Linked DNA regions of Drosophila melanogaster. The protein of the gene in region 1 interacts with the protein of each later gene in a biochemical or structural test. Each region holds a gene or a part of one and is shown in the gene's direction. Other genes may lie near its edges.

Region 1 (8,250 bases):
GGCTGCGGAAATTCTCGGAATTGAGCACATACGCATCAGAGTGCAGGATGTTCACCAGCAGTTTGCCATAGCCCAGGAACAAGCGCGGCAAGGTCTTCAAAACAGTTCCCCGGCAGAGTAGCAAACTAGGCGGTCCATAGCCTGAATATATAGGTATTTAGAGAATAACTAGTGGGATAACAATATAAAGAAGTTTACCTGTGATATGATTGTAGAATAGCTTGCTCCACATGGGCGCCACATCGGAGCTGCGCAGGAATTGGCCGAAGTAAGGAATGCTAAATGTATGGCTGAGCGACGCCGTCAGCGGCGAAGCGGCTATTATAAACTTGTACTTCTTCTCCAGAACGCGATCTCTTGTCTGCTGATCCAAACCCTCTAGGCACTCTAATCGCAGCAGATCTAAACCGCCCGGCAGCAAATGTCGCAGTGAGCAAATGGTAGAACGCAGAATGACTGCGTGGGCGAAATAGCGCGACACGTCGCCTTCGCCTTCCGCATCCAGCAGCGAAACTTGCTCCAGTTCAGCCAGAAAACTGTCTAGACTCTCCTCGCACAGCTTGCCCACCTCAAACATGGTCACAGCGTGATTCTTCAAGCCGGGCGACAGATTGCCCATCATTAGAAAAGCGGTGAGCGTGGAGTCGAAGAGAAAGCCCACCCTCTTACCGCTTTTTGGCAAGACAGCCGCTGATATTGCAGCCGATGGAGCAGCCTGCTTTGGGGCACACATATCCTCTTGCTCCAGCTCGGAACTCAGTTCCTGCTCATCGCTGTTGTTCACTCTCTCCTGGGGTGTCGTATTCAGGTTGGCAAAGCTGAAGTCACTCGTGTTGCCATCCGAGGAGAGGTAGCCTATGGAACTGCTGTCCTTATCCTTGTCCTTCTCCCTTTCCTTGGGTGTCTTTGGCGATTTGGGACTTTGGTCGAATTCGAAGCTGCTACTGGTATGCAAATTGTAGTTCAGCGGTGTGATCTGCGGCGTATCTGGCGTTTGCTGCTGGTTGTATCCCTCCCAGCTGGAATGATTCGTCTGATTGACCAGATCTTCTTTGCGATGTGCGAAACCCAGACGGCAGATAAACGATATGGCCTGCTTAACGCTATCCAGTTCCAGTTGCAGCATCTGTGCCAACTCGGCAATGGTCATGTGCTCATCCGCGCTAACGAAGATCTTGTACAGCAGATTCTCAAAGTAGTCCCCGCTCACACGATTCATCACAAAGTTGCGCAGCGGCGGTATGGATATCCTGTCCTCCCCGCTAATGGGCACATCTAAGTAGATCAAACCCTTCCGGTACAGGCTGTGCACCACGTCGTGATCGCATTTCCCAGCCGGCTGGGCTCCAAAGTCAATCAAGTCATCGAGCAGGCCTCTTTCAGCGGGCGACAGATAGCGAATATCCGCTTCCAGGACATAGCCAATGTCCAGTCGCCACCAGGGCTCGATGTGTATGCGCACCGGAAAGCGTGGCAGGAAGTCCAGCGGATTGGGCCGCGACCCGAAGATCAAGGAGCGCGGTGTGTGAGTTTTCATATCGCTAATAAGGGCCAGGTACTCGTTGCGGCCAATGCCCAAGACACGCAGACAGTCGGCTGCTGTAAAGTTGGGCAAAGTATCGTAGCTTTTGTCGCTTTGCAAAAGCTGACCCAAAACATCCAGATAGTAGTTGAAGGGCGTCACCCTCAAGCCCTTGGTGACGATATCGGCCAGGTGGTAGGGAAATGCGCCCAATCCATTGATGCTCTTCTGTATCAATAGCTCGTAGTAGCGTTGCTCCCGGCGAAACACCTTGGCGGCCAGGTTGCCCCGGAACCTCAGCTGATTCTTTAGACTATAGTTAAAGACGAACTTCTCGTAGTCACGCTGATTGTTGTGCAGAACCGATCGCAGGTGCACGGGCAGCAGTTCCCAGGTGACATTCCCACGCACACATTGCTGCAGTTGGTTTTGGCAATTGGTTCCAGAGCCAGTGGTCGCATTGCCACCTCCGCTGGTGGCCAAATCCTCTTGCTCCGTCATCTTGCGACTCGGATTGGTTTCTCCGGCTGGTCGGACTAACTCATTGCATTCGCTCCGGCTACGGAATCCAGTATTTTCTTCCTGCGTATTATTTTTCTTTTTTTTTCGAGGAACGATAGATCCGATAATACGGACACGGTGTTATTGGTTTCATACGTCGACAGCTGATAAGACCGCCGGTGTTTTGCAGCACTGGCGAGCAACCAGTTTTTCGATAGTTCGATTATTATTAGTATTAGTCATAATATCCCTTGGAGTTTCACAATCACGTTTAAAAGTGCAAACATCCAACGGACGTCTATCGGCAGTGACTAACAATACTGTCCGATAAAGAATGTGCCTATCGGTGTGCTGTCGATATCACTAGTTCATCGATAGCACATCGTTTAGAATGATTTTCAATATTCGTTGCTGCCTGCTTCATTCATAAACACTTACGCTATTACAGTCAAAATTGTCAAAACGTTGACGAATTATCGAGCTTTAAAGGATTGCTATCAGATTGCAAGGAAGTCGGCGTTCAGCGCTCGACGAGCGGGCAACAGAGGCAACGGCAGCGGCTGAGTAGCTTCAGCATAAGAATTTTAGGTAGCCGCGACACAAAAAAGGGACATCAACATCGATTTTTTTTTGCTCCCATTTCGTTTTGTGAGTGGAGCAAAATCACTTTCGACAAACAAAGAAAGGGGCGGCGGCGGTGGGGGCGTAAAGTGCGCAGATTTCAGCGAAGATGAACGGTGGCGGGGGTGGCGAGGATGATCAGCATCTGCCAGGTGTTTCCAGGTGAATAACTTCAGCTACTTACGTTGTGGCATATTAAATCTGATTTTCTTTGCCCCCCATCAGTGCATCAGGATCTGCAGCTGGAGCGGTGGGCGGGCGAGCCACGCCCGAAATGAAGCGTTCGGCGGTGCGCAGCCTAATCAAGCGATACTTCCACCAACTACAATCCGGCTGTGGGAACGCCAACTGCAGCAATGCCAATTGCGCCTCCAGCGGCAAGGTGGCGCCCATGACGCCCAACGAGGTGGCCGCCAGAGCACTGCAGCTCTTTTCACAGGATGCACAGCTCTGCGAGGCGTTCACATCGGAGGCCAACAGGTGAGAATTCTCTTAACAAATGGAACTGGGTAGCAAAGTTTCCAGAGCACCGATAAGATTTTCTATAGGTAATTATCTTTCAATTAAATTTTTTCCCATTTTAGCCCCCAGGACGTGGACATGCTTTCGCCGAACGACAGTAGCAGTAGTAGCAGCGGCAGCTCGACAAGCACAATTACCTCAGCCAGTACCACCACGACAACCAGCAGACAATCGCAGTCAACGCCAGCTGCCGTTGTAGTGCCCGTATCCAGTCCATATCTTACCCAGAGTGTGCCGCAACTGGATATCGCCGGCGCTGAACACTCCTCCGGCGACTCGGAACCGTGTACACCCACCCTGGCGCCAGTCCACAGCTTGGATGCCAACAGTCTGATAGCGCTCTATGAGCAATGTAGGGCGGCTGACAGTTACGACAGGATTTGCCACGCAATCGGCGTTGTGTTCTCCAGCGTAGATAGACTGGGCAAGAGCTTCATTCGCAGCGCAGAACCAGCGGCTTCTAGTAGTCTCCAGGAGCTGCTGGCCAATTCACCGGGGGCTTTAAACAAGGAGCAGCTACGAACTTTGGAAGGGGAACACGATAAAGACGAAGACAGTACACAACAGGTGGACGAACAATCAGAATCGGCGGCTAATGCTACTGCTACTGCAGAATCAGTCGAATCAGAGGCGGAGCCCGAAGAAGAGGACGATGATGTGTGTTCATCCCAAAGCAGCGACACACTGGTGGATCTGCCCGGTTTGCGACGAGTGCAGCGTCTCCTTTTTGGCTGTCAAATACGAGCTATAACGGAGAAGCTTACCAGCAGCGTTATTCAGCTGTCTGACTGGGTGATTTACATGCGTACGGATTGGGAGAGGGTCATTCACTGTCTGGTCATCTGCTTTGATCTAGCCACCAATAGTGAGTTTTTCAATTGTATGCCTGGAATGTTTCAAGTTACAGCTTTTCTCATAACCCTTTAGCCAATAACAGTGTGGTGGACATGGACTATCTGGACAGGGTGCTGCCAAAATTGTGCCAAGCGGCGTCGGCCATGCCAGTGCCGGCACAGGCGCGCCTGGCCAGGATCTGGGCTGCTCATTGTTCAGATCAGCTGCATTCGTTGATCGCAGCCTGCCAGCAGCAAATTACTCTACAGGTGCTTTTGGACGAGGAATCCATGCGCGAGAACGAATCCATAATCAGTGTCACCAAAGTTTTAAAGGTATTTGTTAGGTTTATTATGCAATATGGCTTGTAATGCAGTTGGGTTAACTTCTTCTGTGATAGATTGTCTTCTACGCGAACATTCTGGCTAGCGAGCTGGAGCGACCGTCGTGTCGGGTGCCGCTGGAGGATCGAACGGAAGCGGCGACCGCATCTGGCAGCGCAGCAGTGGAGGACGACCTATTCGTCTACAACTCTTTGTTGGAGCCGCACATGCCCAAATTCGCCGAGGATCAGTTTGAAAAGGAGCTGCAGGTGTCGGCAATCGATTGCCGGAAACCACTGATACCACTTGAGGAGTTCTACAACGAGGCACTCAGTGAAAACATTCAGATGCACCACGACTACCTGTCCTACAAGACGTTAGCCATGGAGAGCGAGATTGGTTCCGGCCACGCGAACTATTTTTCGTTCATGCTGTACGCCTTTATCCTCACGCCGTCAACAAAAGTGGATGCCTTGTACTATGACAGTCGAATGAGGATGTATAGCGAGCGCTACTCCTCCCTTCACTCCATCCTCAACAATATTGGCCAGGTAGGACAGGAAGATAATCCTCGGCCGGATCTTAAGCTGACGGTGCGAAGGGACCAGCTCATCAACGACGCACTTATTGGGGTGTGTACAAATGGTTCTTTAGTGTCCTAGTTAACAGGCGTAATTAATACACGTTTAATTCCCCAGCTGGAAATGGTGGCCATGAGCAATCCAAAGGATCTCAAGAAGCAGTTGGTGGTGGAGTTTGTCGGCGAGCAGGGGATCGATGAAGGCGGCGTATCCAAAGAGTTCTTCCAGCTAATCGTGGAGGAGATATTTAACCCGGCTTTTGGAATGTTTATACAGCAAGAGGAGACCAACAATATGTGGTGGGTATTCAATTGGGATAAATCTGTTCAGTTGAACTATATAAATATATATATATACATATGCAGGTTCAATGCCACACCATTTGAGAACGGAGCGCAATTCACTCTGATTGGTATAATTATTGGCCTGGCGATCTATAACAACGTCACCCTGGCCGTAAACTTCCCCATGGTGGTCTATCGCAAGTTGATAGGCTATTGCGGCACGTTCGCAGACCTCAGCGACTGGAGTCCGGCGCTGTACAAGAGTCTGAAGTCCATGCTGGACTATCAGGGCCAGGATATGGAGGAGGTATTCGAACAGACCTTCAAGATTAGCTATAGCGATGTTTTCGGTGATGTGGTACAACACGAACTGGTGCCGAACGGCCAGGATGTACTGGTGGGGCAGCACAACAAGGAACTGTTTGTCAACCTGTACAGTGATTTCCTGCTTAACACGAATATCGAACAGCAGTTCAATGCTTTCCGCAAGGGCTTCGAAATGGTTACGGACGAATCGCCACTGAAGCTGCTCTTCCGTCCAGAGGAGATTGAAATGCTGGTCTGCGGCAGTCGTGTGAGTAGCTAAATTCAAATTACGAAATTCATTCGGTTGCTGAACTCTGAAACCTTCGGCAGGAATTCGACTTTGTGGAACTGGAAAACTCCACTGTGTACGAGGGCGGCTACACGGAGAAGAGCCAGTACATCCAGGACTTCTGGAGCATAGTGCATGCGATGCCCAGCGAGGACAAGCACAAGCTGCTCGAATTCACGACGGGATCGGCGCGTGTTCCGGTTGGCGGCCTGAAATGCCTGCGTCTGCTAATCACGCGTCACGGTCCGGATAGCGATCGGTTGCCTACCTCGCACACCTGCTTCAACGTTCTCCTCCTGCCCGAGTACAGCAGCCGCGAGAAGCTGGAGGAGCGCCTGATGAAGGCCATCAACTACTCGAAGGGCTTCGGCATGCTGTAGACTATGGTCCAAACTGCAAGTGCAAGTCTGTCATCTGGAACTGATACCACCACCTCTCTGGGAAGAAGATTTCGAAGACTTTGATCGGTTTGAGTTCGTTTTGGGTTCTGCCATTTATTTTTGATACGACCTGTTCAATGAGACAATATATACATACCCAATATATGTGCTCAATTTATATGGTGCGACGGCGAAGCGAGCAGACCGAACGGACACGCGATTTTGTTTCCCTTCTTTAGCCCAGTTAATTGTACATAAACACACACATAAACACGCCACATACTACATTATGTGAACTTACCCTAGGAACAACACCCACATTTAAAAACAGTACGCGCTGAATATTTTCCTAAATAAATTTAAAGTAGTTCGGCGAAGAAACAGATGTATTTTCCATTTAGATTGGTTTTCGCAAGTATGGAATATTTTTTAATATTAGATATTTTTAATTTAAACTAAGATTACTAACAAATTAAAATTGTGGAAAAAGATTCATTTAAATTATATTTACATATTTAATTTAGTATAGAAACATCAAATACAAAACATTTTGTAAGCAATATTTCACACTAGCTGACATTTAAATTTCGGTGTGAAGTACTTTTTATTTTTTAACTTAAAAAATAACTTGTTAACTTTATTTTTTATTTAGTCTAGACACATTTAAAAAAAAAAGAGGTGTGAAAGCCTTATTTCACAACAGCTGACTTGGGACTAGTGGATTTTTTAGGCCCTTTTTTTCAGGCGATATTTTCTAACGGCTTAGCCGCAGCCACACATTTGTTATTCGCGTTTCTGAGTTTCTTGCGGGTGGGACTCCCGATATTTTGTGGAGCGGAAGGTGTTTTGATTTCCTTAGCATTTAGCACAAAAAAATGCAACTAGTATAAAGTACTGTTCACTATAACAATTTTTAACCACCGATAGCGAGTGCTTCACTGTGTGTGCGAGTAAGAGAGAGAGAGAGCAACTAGCTCCAGCATCATGAGAATACAACAAAGCGCCTTGTTGTTGTTGCTGCTGGCCGTGACGTCGCAAGGAGATGCCGAGTCCAATTGGAATGGTTTGTTCTTAATTTCTAACTAGAATGAGTTCATCAGCAGCCATAGAAAATTATATTGCATTCATGTTTTCATATTTTTCGATCTTAAGTGCATTCCACTGCCGTACTTATTACACAAATGCACAGAGATAAAAAGGGATGTGATGCGGTTGGTTTTTTCTTATCATTCTTGATAAGAAACTAGAACATCCTTTTCTCGTTCAAAACATAAAAAGTCCGAAATGTAGTTTCCCCTTACTTTTTTCTGTGTATGTGCAGTACATATCTCAGAGAATTTGTTTATGATCCATATACCACCCGACCACATCTCTCCTTGCCTTTTAATTTGCTTTTGTTTTCGTTTCGCTTTGATGCTGCGGTCGTTTACTCTGGAATTGCTCGGAAAACGGAGCAGATGCAGATTCAAGTGTTCAGATGCATCTGCATCTGAGATGAAAGATACAAAATGGTTCTCAAACAGCAAATTCGTTTACACATTCAGAAATTAAACTGCTTTAAACAAGCCGAACTTGTTGTCTAACATGTATTCGTTATAATTTAATGACTTCAGACAATACAATATCATTTTGTTGTATTCTAATTAGAACCCAAAACTAGAATACAGTAGAGCTTACGCAAGTTCAACGAGCAATATAAGAAACTATTAAATTTATGTTAAATTACATTAATTAAAAATAATCCAAAAGTAATGACTTACTTTCTATTAATCTTTACTATTGATTCATATATATGTTAATTTACAGACAAAATCAAAGTGTTCACTGTGGCCACTGAACCCACCGATGGCTATACTAGATATATTCGATCTGCACGAGTCTACGATATTGAGGTGAGGATTCGTATTAATTAGAGCATTTTAAAGTCGAGACAAGAAATTGTTTCACACTGTCTATCTAATATCTATGAGCTGCTATAGTTAGGTATTATGGTTAGCGGAAAAAGAATTATAAAGCGGTTGGAACTTTGAAACTTGACAGTTCATCAAGAAAGACATTCTACCATCTGGGATAAAAATTAGAGAACA
Region 2 (6,631 bases), on another chromosome or scaffold:
AACTTACTCCGTGGCACACGCGGCGTATGCGCAATGTGCGGCAACTGTTGCTTGGACCCAAAAAGGGTGCTCCGCTTCCGTTCCCACCGTCCCCTCCACGACTCAATAAATATGCATGAGCAGGAGGCCAAGGGGCTTCAATTAAATTTACTCAAATTGCGGTTGACGGGACAAACGGCTGCTGGTGTGCAGCTTTTTTCTGCGTGAAGGAGGTCGGAAATTTGCATGCAAATATTTTCGGCATTTCCTCTGCTGGAAATTTATTTGTTTTTTTTTTTTTTTGTTTTTTGCCCTTACTATTTTTTGCATTTATTATGAGCGTAGGCAGAAAAAGCGGCACAAATTAAGACGCCAGCTCGTTGATGCGTGTCCTGGTAGTGTTAAATTGCGAAATGAACTTAAGTGAAATGAGCAAAAGGAGCTGGAGGAGCACGAGCTTTAATGGCCAGCATTCTGGTCCTTCCGTTTGGCTCCAAATTGGCGGCCTGGATGGGGGATTCCAGGAGCCTGGCAGAGCAAACATGAACGAAAAAACATGAAACGTGCCCAGCCTGCTAAGGACATTCATTACGCAAGCTATGAAGCTGCCTTCTCCGAACTGAATCCAACCATCGCAGCCATACCCACACACCCCCCCCCCTCCACTTCCTACCCATGGGCTTAGTGGGCTGGCCACGCCTCCTATTGAATTATTCCAGTTTTATTTCTCGCCATTTGGCTTGGCACACACCGAGGCATCCGACTCGGCCGTGAAGCTGACTCCTTGCCGCCGGTGGCCCGGTTGTTGAACCACAAACACCCAGACACACAGAAACACTAAGCACCAGCACGCAGCAGAGGCAAAGACACCTGTTGATTGGGCCTTTCAGGTTATTTGAGCCAAAGCCAATGCCAAAGCAAAAGCAAAAGCGAAAGCCAAACCCGAAGACAGTGGCAGTGGCAACAAGGCGATTTCCCCTCAGCTTATGTGGGCTCAATTTTGTAGTCGAGCCGGCTTCCTTCTAATGGCCATGGGATATTGAATCGATTGACGGGGCCGCAGGATGAGAGGGCGGGCAAAAGGATGGGCAAAGTGGAAAGTGGGTTGCTCTGCAGCTGAGCGAAAAGTCGTTTCGCCTAAGCAACCGCAGCCCCTTTGGAGCTGCTTCCTTGTTTGTGCTCGTGTCGACAACAATTGATTTCAAAATATTAATTAACCGGATAAACCAATTGAAGCTTCCGGAGAAGGTAAGGGCAAATGAAACCGTGCAAACTGTGCTCTTTGTAAGAGTGTGCAAATTTGGCATTTCCTTGTAATTGGTCACCGAATTGATCAATTGAATGAATCTGTAGAAATTTAGATGCCATTTTGCTGGGAAGCTAACTTAGATAGAACATGCTAGCCTTCAAGAACAAAATGACTTGAGACATCTAATTATCCTGATTATATTTGGGGTTTAGAGTTGCGATAAATTCAGCTTCGACCAAGTGGAGGTCAGCATTTCGGATGATAAAATGAGATCTTGTGCGGACGGAGATAAGTTTTCCAAATGCCTGGTCGTTTGGAGGATTGTTATGTTTATAGCTCCATTACACTGACAAATTGGAAGATCTTCGTCTTGAGTTCCACATCGTGACTCGTACTTATCAATAGTGTTCTCAATTAAATTCATAATTTAATTATAATCAATTACGCGGTCTGTTGGTTTCGGGCGAACCTTCAGTTGGTGCTTCCAATGATAAGTTGCTGGATAATGATGACGAGGGGTATCAGGTGTATCTTGAAATTTAAGTATAATTTAATTAGTTTAAGTAAGCTGAACTTATAATCTCCAAGATGCGTTTTTCCCCACAGGATCGTCGAATTGCTGAGCCTTCGAGAATCTCTGGCCCGTTTGAAGCCATTCATCGCAACAATGATCAACGATCAATACTGAACATAGGAAATAAATTTGAGAAGATTCAAGTCCAGTTGAACATTTCTTGGAGAGTAGCTAATTTATACGTTTAACGAACGCCATCTACACTTCGTTCTATCTGCCACTTAAAATTATTTTGCTTATACAGCGCCACCTATGTTTGGAATGCAAGAAGACGCGCGTATTGTATTTGGTATTTTATTATCTCTTGAAATTGAATACACATAACTATAACGTTGGCAACTCTCCATATCTGTAAATATTCAAGATGGCAACTATCGTAGTGTGTATATTTTAATCTGGCAGCTCCAGTAATTTTCACGCTTGCAGTTGATATAAAAAGTACATAAAAGTATGTTATTTCCAAATTGAGGTGAAAAATTAAACATATTTTTAACTTGGTATTTTAAATTAGCAATTATTAATGAGAGTATTGAAATCCAAACATATCCAGATATTAATATTTGAAGGTAGCATAGTAACAACTTTCGGTAAATAAATATCCAGGTATATTTAAAATACTTAACTTTTCATTTTAAATAAACCAGACTGTTCGGACTATTGACAAATTATAATAGTAATTTTATTCATAATGCAATATTTACAATTACATTTTCTTAACCGATTGCCATCCCGATTTCTACACCGGCTTATTCGATACAATAGGCCGATAACTCTCCATTTGGTAGTCACGACTTCTAAAATATCGATACGTTGGAATTGTGTAAATTTTCCACATCCCTGGGAATAATCGAGTTAAATTAAAATAACATGGCGTTAAGGTCGGATTACGAGGTGAGCAAAAATAAAGCCTGGATTACGATGAAAACTAAGTTAGTTAAGTGAGAAAATGGTTAAGTTTAAACTGTTGTTAGACCATGACGAGGGAACCAAAAAGAACCAGGGCCAAAACAAATTGGCCAAGTGATACGCTGAGCGGGCGTTGTTTTTAGTGGGAAAAATCGAAGCCCGAGTGCGCTGTGTGGGTGTGTGCGTGTATCTGTGTTGTGTACATTGCTTTTGGTGTTGTTCTTGCTGCTGCTGCTGCTACTACTATTTGTTTTGTTGCTGGTGAAAAAGCGAGAAGCAACGACAACAACAACAAAGCCGAGGCGACGCCCAACGAAGTTTACTAATTTGTTTGCGGGCTTTCGGTAACTGCAAACGGAATCGAATGTGAAACGGGGCGCAGTTACTAATCCTATTGGATCTGGATGGGCCTATATCCGCTTACCTGCTGATCTGTAAAAATAGCCTGGGCTTAGAGCCTGGCTTTTGACTTTTTTCTCGAATTTGTATTCGCTCTCCCTTTCTCTTGCTCTCTCTCTCTCTCTCTGCCTCTCTGTCTCTCTCTCTCTCGCTTTCCAGGTGCGCTTAGCTGGCATGCGCAATTTGCATTTCCAGGCCGACCAGTTTCCCAAATTTTCCACTTTCCCGGCGCGAAAGCTTTTCGCTTTTCCGTGCTTGGAAATCTTCCAGTTTTCGGCTTACATAACCGGTACTGCTGCCGCCCCTCCCGAACCACGCCCCATTCCGCCGCATCTCGCAGATTTCATTATTGGAATCTCGAGCTCTAGAACGAAACTACCCTGCATAACACGTTTATTTTTCCATTTTCCGTGCTTTCCCTCCTTCCGGAATTGGTGTCATTGGGCCGAGTAGTGCGCTGCTAATTACACACACTGGCACATTAGCGTAAATCGACGTACTTCTTACCGTACTTTTTTCTCAGTACGTAGCCCTTACTTTCCCTTCCCTACCCCCTCACCATTCGATTAGTTACTAAATGCCCCACCGATGACGCCACTTAATTACCCCGCAGAAGGTAATGAGTTCTTCGCCAGGGTTGTTGTTTCCACCCGGGCTTTCGGTTCTGTTCCTAGGGCTAGACCACCAATTCTAAGTCCGTATTGCCAGCTCTATTGATTTTGGGGCTTGTCTAAGGGCAGGTCACACACACGCACGCACCCACACACATACTGGTTCGACGGCCCGAAAGTATGCAAAACTATAGAGCAAGCGGTCTGAATCCACTCGCAACAAACAGTGGGTCCAGATATTATTTGTAACGGGAAAACTTGAAAAGAACGCTTAAGACCTCACTTAGACTTGAAAGTGTCTTGTAGAATATATTTAGATATTATTATATAATTATTATAATATATATTATATTGTGCATATTTGTATTGTTATAAAATTAAGTATGTAATTCCAAAATTACGTCTTTATTAGTATTGTAGTGGTATGCATATTTTAAGAATCAAAATAAGTTACGCAAATTATTTTAAGTTTAAAAACATTTGTGGTTGGGTTTATTGGGTTGGGTTTCATACAATTAATTTTATAAAATATGACGCATTTCCCAACGGATTTTCAAGGGCAAATTCTGATGATAATATTGTTGGTGTAGAATACAACGTTGCATAATTATTATAATTCAATCTGCCGGACTACGACATCTTATATCTTAACCCAGTGTGCTCAGTGGAAATTCTATTATGATTTCACGCACAAATCCGCGTAAAGCTGAGTTATGTACGAGTATATCTCACATCCCCCCACCAGCGTTGTGGCTTCGTTTTGTATGCTGACTCATGCGCTTTCAATTGAAGTCAATTTAAGAAAGCACATCAAAAATCATGAAACTACAATCTGACGATGCTCTAAGAACGCGATAATGAAGTTCCCTTCCTCTCAATGTGCGTTCCATAAGTAAATGATTTGGAATTAAGGGCCAGCCAAAACGAGAACTAGTTGGTATATGTATGTATGTATGCATCTACCCGTTTATCAGTCGAAAAATGCAGATAAAGCAATTAAGAGTTTATGGAGAGGACGGCAAATAAGCTGAATAATGTGCTTCCAACGTGGTAATGGCAGGTTCTAAATGCTAACACCCAGGATTTGAATACTATCAGCAGTTATCAGCGTTGACATGTAGTACACACACCTATACTATATATTAACCAGATATTTTGTGCACCCGAATAGACGGGCCCCTTCCCTTTTTGACCAGTTTTACCCGGCTCGGAGATTTTAGGTTCGCGTTAACTACTTAACAGATTGCCGATGGCAGTAAAAGCGACAGTGATAATAATTACAACTGGAAAATACCAGAAAACCGTCCGACAGAGGTGGTGACTTGCTTTCGGCAATCAAAGCGTGGCAGCAAAACAATATTGGCCGTTTTAATTCAATTACGCGCCAATAAAAATCTAATCAACTGACAATGGCAAACCGTTTGAATAGATCTTGTTGGAAAAAGCCATCTACGCTATGTGGGCATCATCAATTGGCGGCCATAATCGCAAGATGTGGAAATTATCACCTCGCCCATTGACTGTTTGCTGTCACATCCAGCACACAGATTGCATTCGACAAGGACTTCGATTTGTTTCGCTGCGGTGTGATATTTGGCACATGCCCAGTTTGCGTCAATGGGTAGGGTCTTAATTACTAACGATTGCATAACCCGCTATTAGGGGTCTGGGCCTCCAGTTTCCCAGGTATCGGTATCTGTATCTGTGCCTTTGCGCTATATTTACCTTTCGTCTGCTTATCAGATAACACTCGCTCGACCAACACTTGTAGATTAAGTTCTAGAGCGGTACGTTGATTTATTTTCGTTTTCGTTTGTTTTCGAGTTGGTCTCCAGCTTGTAGGTCTCTCAAGGTCCATCGATCATTACCCTTCAGGGGTGGCTTAGTTCCGAAGGGGTAGTTTATTGTCCAGCTACCTGAAGTAGCTGAGCCGGAGCTCAACAATGGCTCAATTGTTCCTGTTCGCCACCGGTTCAAACGAGTTTCGGGCGGTAAGACGAGATTTGTGAATCTCCAGAACTCTGAACTCGTCTTGTGTCACGCACTTAATATTGTCTGAACGACAACAATTACCGCAATTACCGCGAACGCATTGTGGGAGGAAGTAAACGAGCTGGGTCGAGATTAAGCCGGCTCCACTGGGCAATCTGTAATGCATAGCTAAGGAAATGACATAACTTTCGAATATTACTCGGATTCAATTGGCCGGTAAAATGGGAAGGCATAACAAATGAATAAACACAAAAAACAGCGGGCGATCCAACTATTCTAGATCGAGTAAATAAATATATAACCCGCAAGAACTCGCTAAAATCGGATTTGGCTGCCACTTGTCCGTGGGATTTCTTTTGGCACTGGAGATCCATAAAAAAATAGCTACATATACCTGCCTGCCATAAATGTTAAAATCTTGGCATTTCGAAACGAAAATGGAATGGAAAATGTTTTCCAAATGATGCAAACAATTGAAAGATTGTTCGAATTCTCGCAGAAGATACATACAGTTGTATATGTAGCTCAATTGTGTGTGAATCTGTGCCTGTATCTTTTGATTCGCACTTTGCTTGTTGCCCGACGCTCCTTAAATCGTCATAATAAATTTTTATTTAATTTAATGCCTCATATGTGACGACAATATCAGCAATTGCCGCCACTTGCACACAAACTCGGCCTGTCCGTAATTTGTTTTAATTTAAATACAATTTAATACGCGCTGCTGACGTTGCCATAAAGCTACTTTTGCAGTCACGATCGCACAAAAAAAAAAAAAAAATAAAAAAAGTGCCTTTTTGGCCAAATGCAAACAAATCGAAATAAGTAGCGGACAAATGCCAATTTGGCAGTAGCCGAAAATATCCAGCTATACGAAGTCGAATCAAATTATCGCACCGCTCGATAATGAGAAATAATTGT
Region 3 (6,422 bases), on another chromosome or scaffold:
AAAATGATGCACTGCGAGAAATTATTATGGAATTGTATAAGTGGTAGGGAAGTTCCATCATATAAAACAAGTGCATATGGCACGTTAAATGCAAGTCGAAAATTGATTTTTTAAAGTGTGTATGAAATGAGGCCCAGCTGCAATCAGCGGGCCAACTTGTTGTAAACAAATTGAAGTGGCACTCAGTGATCCCCTGCTCCGCCGCTCTTCTTCTTGTGTTGGCCATTACCAATTGCACTCGGGTTCAACCCTTACCCTCGACCATTCCCCATACCCAATTCCCTGGGGATCGAATTGGATGGGATTGTATGGACGGAGTGGTATAGGATGGTATGGCATGGGGACGTGCCTTCATTAGGCCATGCAGAGCGCGTAGGCAGAATGTGTAAACACACATCGATTTCCATTCCGAATGCGTCTCGTGTGCTATGCGTAATTTTAATTGATTTCATTTACGCATTTTTGACTAATGTTCACACGCCGATGCATCGGACTGGCGGGGGGTGCAGCTCATTTAGCATGGACTCGGCGCGTTGATGGACAGAATCCAACTCCAAATGGCTGCATCGGGGAATTTATTTTTGGCCCTATCGTCCCACTCTCGCATCCGCCGTTCGCCTGGTTTTCCCCACCCAGAAAAAAAAAAACCCAAAATCTGTAACATAAATTTCACTTTGATCTATTTTTGAGTGGCCAATGCAAGTTTGCTAAATTCTGTTCAGCAGAAGGAATATTTAAAATTTTTAATTGCTACTAGAGTGCGCGCACTCAGCGGCGACGACCCAGTTTCAAAACATCTTTGCTGGCCAGAATCTCGACTGGGTTAGGGGATTTCTAATGGTGGTGAAAAGGAGGGAGCACTAATCTCTAGATAGCATTTTTATGTTACGAAATATACAGTTTTACTCTAATTAATGTGTGTGACACATACTATTTTTAGCCATCTTCATGCATAAGCATCTTATAAAACAGCAAAAACATGGTATTACATGTAGGAAATGTGATTCACTTTCGCTAAACACAACTTTAAACGCACCCCCACTTTGCTAATTGCCCATTTTGGCTATCGTAACTCCTATTTTACTTCACTTTTGATTGCCTTGGGGTTTTCTTCCCCATTCTGCCATCAATCTCCAAGTTGACATCCCAACCACGAGCGATTTGGAAAGAAACGTGTGACTTACCGAACGATAAACTGAAAGTAAACCTCCAAGTTGCCTGGGCCATCAATCAATCAGTCACTTAATATGAATATGAAAATATGAACCCGAACCCACAACAAATGCAATGTGGGTTTATCTGGCGTACATTCGCCATTCATTATTCATTGTGTGTTTTTCCTCTCGCCAGCCAAGTTTTCTTATCTCAGGCAACAATGTTGGCCGCGTTTTTCTTTGGGCCACTGTAAGTGCAACTTGAAAGGCGATTTTTAGGCCATTTTTGCAGTAAATGTAGCAGTACTTGAAGCATTTTGTAGTTGGACAAGGTTCAATGAGCAGGCAAACCGCTGAAAAGCCCAGTTACCCAGACCACACCCAATTGATTTTCACTCACTGACCATCTGAGAGATGCGTTTATGACACCAATCGACTTGAAATTTAAACAAGCAATATTTTAGATACATAAGCATGCCTTGACTTTACAATCAGTTGTTTTATATATTTTGCTTGTAACACACTTTTGATAACATGAAGAAAATTTACTGTGTGAAAAATTGTGAAAAACTTATTTAATGTATGGTTCGTATAAGGTGCCGTCCTAGTGCTTCTTGCGACCCTGGCAGAGAGATTGATGCGCCTTCAGCTGGTGGCCCTTGAACTCCAGGCCACATCTGGGACAGCCGACGGTCTGTTTGAAGAGATTGCACTAGAGGCGCTGACGCGGAGTAAGTTCGTCCTCGCTGGACAGCAGAGTAGTCGAGTTGCTGTTCAGCTCTGTGTAACCGGAGCTGCGAAGAATTCGCTTTGATGAATTTGATTTCGATTTGGTGCAGCGTGATGTGGAAGATCCCGAGGAGGAGAAACGGGTGTCCAAGTCCTTTGAAGTAAACGATGGCGGTTCCAAGCACACCATAATGGTACCGCGCTTCATTTTCTCAAAGCAAATGGGACAAGATACGATGTCGTTGTTGAGCAAGTGGGCTGCACGGTGTTCTTACGCTGCAAGTCTTTCATCAGGATGTCTTCTCCAAAAACATCGTCAATAATGGATTGATCAGCTAGTTCCGTGGCGGCTGTTAAACTGTCATTTGCCGGCCGCCTCATAATCGATTGAAAGGGTATTGACCTCGCACAAGGTCAATTCATCCTCCATTATCTAGCGCTTGATGTTCTGCGTGCGCTCCTGACTGCTCATGGTGTTCCTGCAAGCTGGCATCTTTAGCTCATCCTTTGACTGCGCTGCTTCTGTTCATCAATTTTCTTCATTTTATGTTATTAAAAAATATGTTACTATATGGAAGTGTTTGAATTTACATTAGAATAGCCTACTATGTTTTCGACCTAGTGTCATAGAGGCCTAACATTTTTGCCATTTGGCTGGGAGCCATTCAATTCGTTTGCCATGCAGTCGGCATTTGCTTTTATTTCTACGTAATTGCGAATCTTTTGAAGCGATGCGAACTATATCATCGCAGTACATTTTCCTACCCGTATGCATATTGATTGATAGCCAATTTGCACGTGCTCCACTTTGTGCCTGGGTTTTGCTTATTGTCGCCATGTTCTGCCCATACGAAATCAGTTCCCCTGGTCGCAGTTCTTTGGCTGCACCCACATGGATTGTCACGTTTGTGTTTTGTTTTGCTTTTGAGTTCTTGGAAATGTGTCGAACACAAGAGCCGCGAGTTTTCCACCCAGCAATTTGCAATCTTTGATAGATGGCTTATGTAACTGCCAGAGAGTGTAAGGCACAACACAACACAACACCAAAGTGGCGAAAATATTAGACGCGTCGGGGGAATTACGTCGTTTGGTCTGCGGGTTTCGAGTCGACAAGTGCAAGGCACTCAATCAATTAGCGATAGTCGATAGCCATAGACATGGGCTTTATCAATGCTTCGGTTAACTTCGTGGTTGCACTGGAAAATATTCGAAACTAAGAGGAGTTAGAAAGTCAAATTTTAGCAAGGCACTTTCAGCTAACAAATATTATATTGCTTCTTAAGTGTTGCAAAACTAAAAAATATCGCAAACCCCCTATCGATATCATTGAACTTTTTTTTTATTAATAATGTTTTTATTACTGTGTATAGCGGTTTCCCATAATTTACACCACTCATGTTACGCTAAAGTTTTATTGAGTTCCATTAATTTACGACTTTCTATGGTCGTAATTAAGATTATCCTTTGCTCGCGCTCCGCAATTGCCGCCGATTTTCCATGAATGGCAGCTTTTTATCGGACCTGCACTCGCATAATTCATTTTATCATTTTGACAGATTCGGAATGGAATAGCGACTTTCCTCGCCCACCCAACACGCGTACGAGATTTCAATTGCCCGTCGAGTGGCACACATATATTATACCAGCTCTCGAAATGAGACGCATCATAAATAATAACTAATGTTTTGATAAGACCCCAATGAGCGCCAACCACTTTTTCTGTTTATCAAATTACGTATGAAGTTTGCTCATTAATTTTGGCAAAGTGAGTGTAGGGGAAACATGGGTAGTGTAGCACACAGAAACCCCTGCAGGAGGCCTAACCCCTTTCGCTGAGATTGGGTCTGAGTCGCTTCCGCTGATTTGCACTGAAAGTTGCACAGTGGGGTTTTTGCACCTCGGTTTTGTATCTCGAGAAAGGGGGATTTCTTGGTCTTCAAGTCGCGCTCATTGCGTGGGCTTTGAGCCGTCGAGGAACGTCATCCTCCAAGTCTGTGGCGTGCAGACGACAGAACTAGACGTAATCTCGGCGAGCTGTCAAACAGTATCTTAAAGATGCCTCTCCGACTACTTGGCTGGCAACTGGTTCTGAACGCAGCCGTCTGCGGAGAGGCACTAAATTCTGCGGCCTTTTGACCAAGTTTATGACACACGTTTAGCTGTCTAGTTGGCCCACGCTCATCCGCTTTCAGCAGGAAGAGAGTTGAAGTTGCCCATTCTCCGTTGGTGCGACTCCCCTTTTCCTCTCCATCGCCCCTATGTGTTTCTATTTTCAATTAAGATCTCGTATTTCAGGCGCCCGACAAACGGGCAATTGTTGTTGTTAAATTATTAATTGACATTTGCCTGGCGCCACAGAAGAGCAACTCAAGTGCCAAGACTCCCACCCGCTCTCCCTTTTTTTGTTTACAAATTAGTTACACAGTTTTTCAATTTACTTATATTTCGTATTGCCCGTTTTTCTGTTTGCCCCGTAGGTGAATTCAGTGCGAATGTTCAGCCAGACGTCGAAGCTATGGCCGCCGCCGCTTTGAGTGGCATGGAAATGGGATCTGGACCAGGATCAGAGGGATATGAGGATGCCGACAACGAGAAAAGCAAGACCGTGGAAAATGGTGAGTCTACCATCTTAATAAAATGATTTAAAAAAGCGTGTTATAAATCAGCATCGAATATTTTGCATATCTTATCTTATTTTATCTTATATATAATATTAGTTCGGATTAATATAACTTATGATCATAACACTCGGATGTATAGATCAACAGCAAGTTTATATTTTGAATTTGGCGACCTAAGTTCAACATCCTCGATAGTATAGTGGTTAGTATCCCCGCCTGTCACGCGGGAGACCGGGGTTCAATTCCCCGTCGGGGAGATGTGTAAATAATTTTTTTTTTTTGGTTCGATATTTAATTTATGTTGTTACTTTTTAATTTTCGAAATTTATATATTATTTAACAGTTAAATTTAATAATTGCCTGGGTACGGAAGAATTTAGTTTGTTAAACAAAACAATACATCTGTTTCAACATATGAAAGAAGTGCTACATAAAAGCTAACAAAAATAAAAGCTTCAAAAATGTATAAAATTATTGTTATTGTTATTAACTGGAAAAATATATTGTGAAAAAATGCTCTCGCATCTCCCCGACGGGGAATTGAACACCGGTCTCCCGCGTGACAGGCGGGGATACTAACCACTATACTATCGAGGACGGTGAACGACACTCGCCAAATGTGGCATACGATTCTCGTTAGACTTCGGTTGGATTCCATCAGTGGAAGACCTTCCCTCCTTTGGCATTAAGTTCAGTTTGGAAATTTATTAATAGAGGCGATCGGCTGGAGTCACCCTCGAAAGGTGTTAATGGGGGGAATACTTAATGCTCTTACAAATTATGTTTGACGCGCCTGAACTCGCAATGTGGCAGAGGAGTATCTGTGTGCTTCATAACCTCGTGATTGTGTGGGTAGATTTATGCCCAGCACTGCGTGTAATTATAATTTATCGTTGTTGAAATTGCATAAAACTTTAACACCTCACCTTGGGACCGTGAAGTGCAGCAGAACGAAAAGGAGCCTGAGATAGAATCGAATATGAGTTGGTGCCTGGTTAATTGCACTTCAGTTTTTGACGAAGAGGAGATTTAGTGGTGTTAATGAAGAGGTGGCAGGGTGATCTGTTTTTCGGTTTTTCATGTGTGTATCTATCAGATTTTAATTCATTGCAAAAGTGTGCAAGAACGAAACGAATTCCGAGCATTTTTCCACATGTTGCTGACAACATGAAATGTCTTTGGTTTATTTTTACACACACCCAACAACACGGGCACACAATAAAGTGTCGCCCACGTTGACACAAATTTCTGGTACAATACGAAAATTTCCATGCTGCAGAGATACAGATACGCAGACTGGTATCCATGAGATGCTGGACAGTGCTACCGACCAAAAGACTGACGGAGCAAAAGGAAAAAAAAGACCAAGAACAATCGGGTAGCATTGCCTGACTTTGATTTAGGGCCCAGCCACACTCCAAGTGACATCTTGGACCTTTTCCGAGACCTTCGTCTTTTGTCTGATTTCTGGTGATTTCGTTGATTGGGAGCCTGTTGCGCACATCTGTTGGCCATGTTGCAGTGACCCGGGGTTCACCTCTCTGCAGCTTTGTGTATCTAATGCTCAGTTCTAACAATATTTCCAGAGATACAGTCGGATTCGTTACAGATACAGATACATTCGGCCCGCCAGCTTGTCTGGCCTTTTCCCTGGGAGTGTCGGCCCCGTTTTGTGTTTATTGTATGGATGGAATAGTGTTCCCCTGCCCTCCAGCGTTTTTCACACGAAATACTCGAAAATCCAACATGGATTTTCTATTGTCTGGATTTCAAAGTAAATATGTATGTATGGCTAGAATCAACCTTTAGCCCCCGCATTTCCACTCGAGCGAAAGAGCAAACAATTTCGAGGGGAACAGTGCAGTGTTAATGGAACGAACAAATCGAAAGGTTTTTAGCACAGGTGCTAATTGGACAA

Evidence for each region.
Region 2: of the proteins of Ube3a (region 1) and Atpalpha, one has a biochemical effect on the other in vitro, tested with the Drosophila melanogaster proteins (one study listed by BioGRID).
Region 3: of the proteins of Ube3a (region 1) and tkv, one has a biochemical effect on the other in vitro, tested with the Drosophila melanogaster proteins (one study listed by BioGRID).

Annotation. Positions count from the first base shown.
Region 1 is NT_037436.4:11,204,710-11,212,959, reverse strand, and holds Ube3a (ubiquitin protein ligase E3A), read left to right. Parts: upstream 1-2,376; 5' UTR 2,377-2,753; coding exon 2,754-2,806; intron 2,807-2,869; coding exon 2,870-3,124; intron 3,125-3,228; coding exon 3,229-4,031; intron 4,032-4,093; coding exon 4,094-4,335; intron 4,336-4,400; coding exon 4,401-4,955; intron 4,956-5,021; coding exon 5,022-5,203; intron 5,204-5,269; coding exon 5,270-5,762; intron 5,763-5,824; coding exon 5,825-6,163; 3' UTR 6,164-6,538; downstream 6,539-8,250. Other genes in the region: CG7600 (uncharacterized protein), read right to left, coding at 1-141, 199-2,023; Plod (procollagen lysyl hydroxylase), read left to right, coding at 7,148-7,226, 7,970-8,055.
Region 2 is NT_033777.3:20,946,137-20,952,767, forward strand, and holds the start of Atpalpha (Na pump alpha subunit), read left to right. Parts: upstream 1-2,643; 5' UTR 2,644-2,669; coding exon 2,670-2,693; intron 2,694-6,631. UniProt on the Drosophila melanogaster protein: This is the catalytic component of the active enzyme, which catalyzes the hydrolysis of ATP coupled with the exchange of sodium and potassium ions across the plasma membrane.
Region 3 is NT_033779.5:5,239,445-5,245,866, reverse strand, and holds the start of tkv (thickveins), read left to right. Parts: upstream 1-1,727; 5' UTR 1,728-1,791; coding exon 1,792-1,885; exon of another isoform or gene 1,886-3,168; intron 3,169-3,246; exon of another isoform or gene 3,247-3,648; intron 3,649-4,360; coding exon 4,361-4,498; intron 4,499-4,689; exon of another isoform or gene 4,690-4,761; intron 4,762-5,029; exon of another isoform or gene 5,030-5,101; intron 5,102-6,422.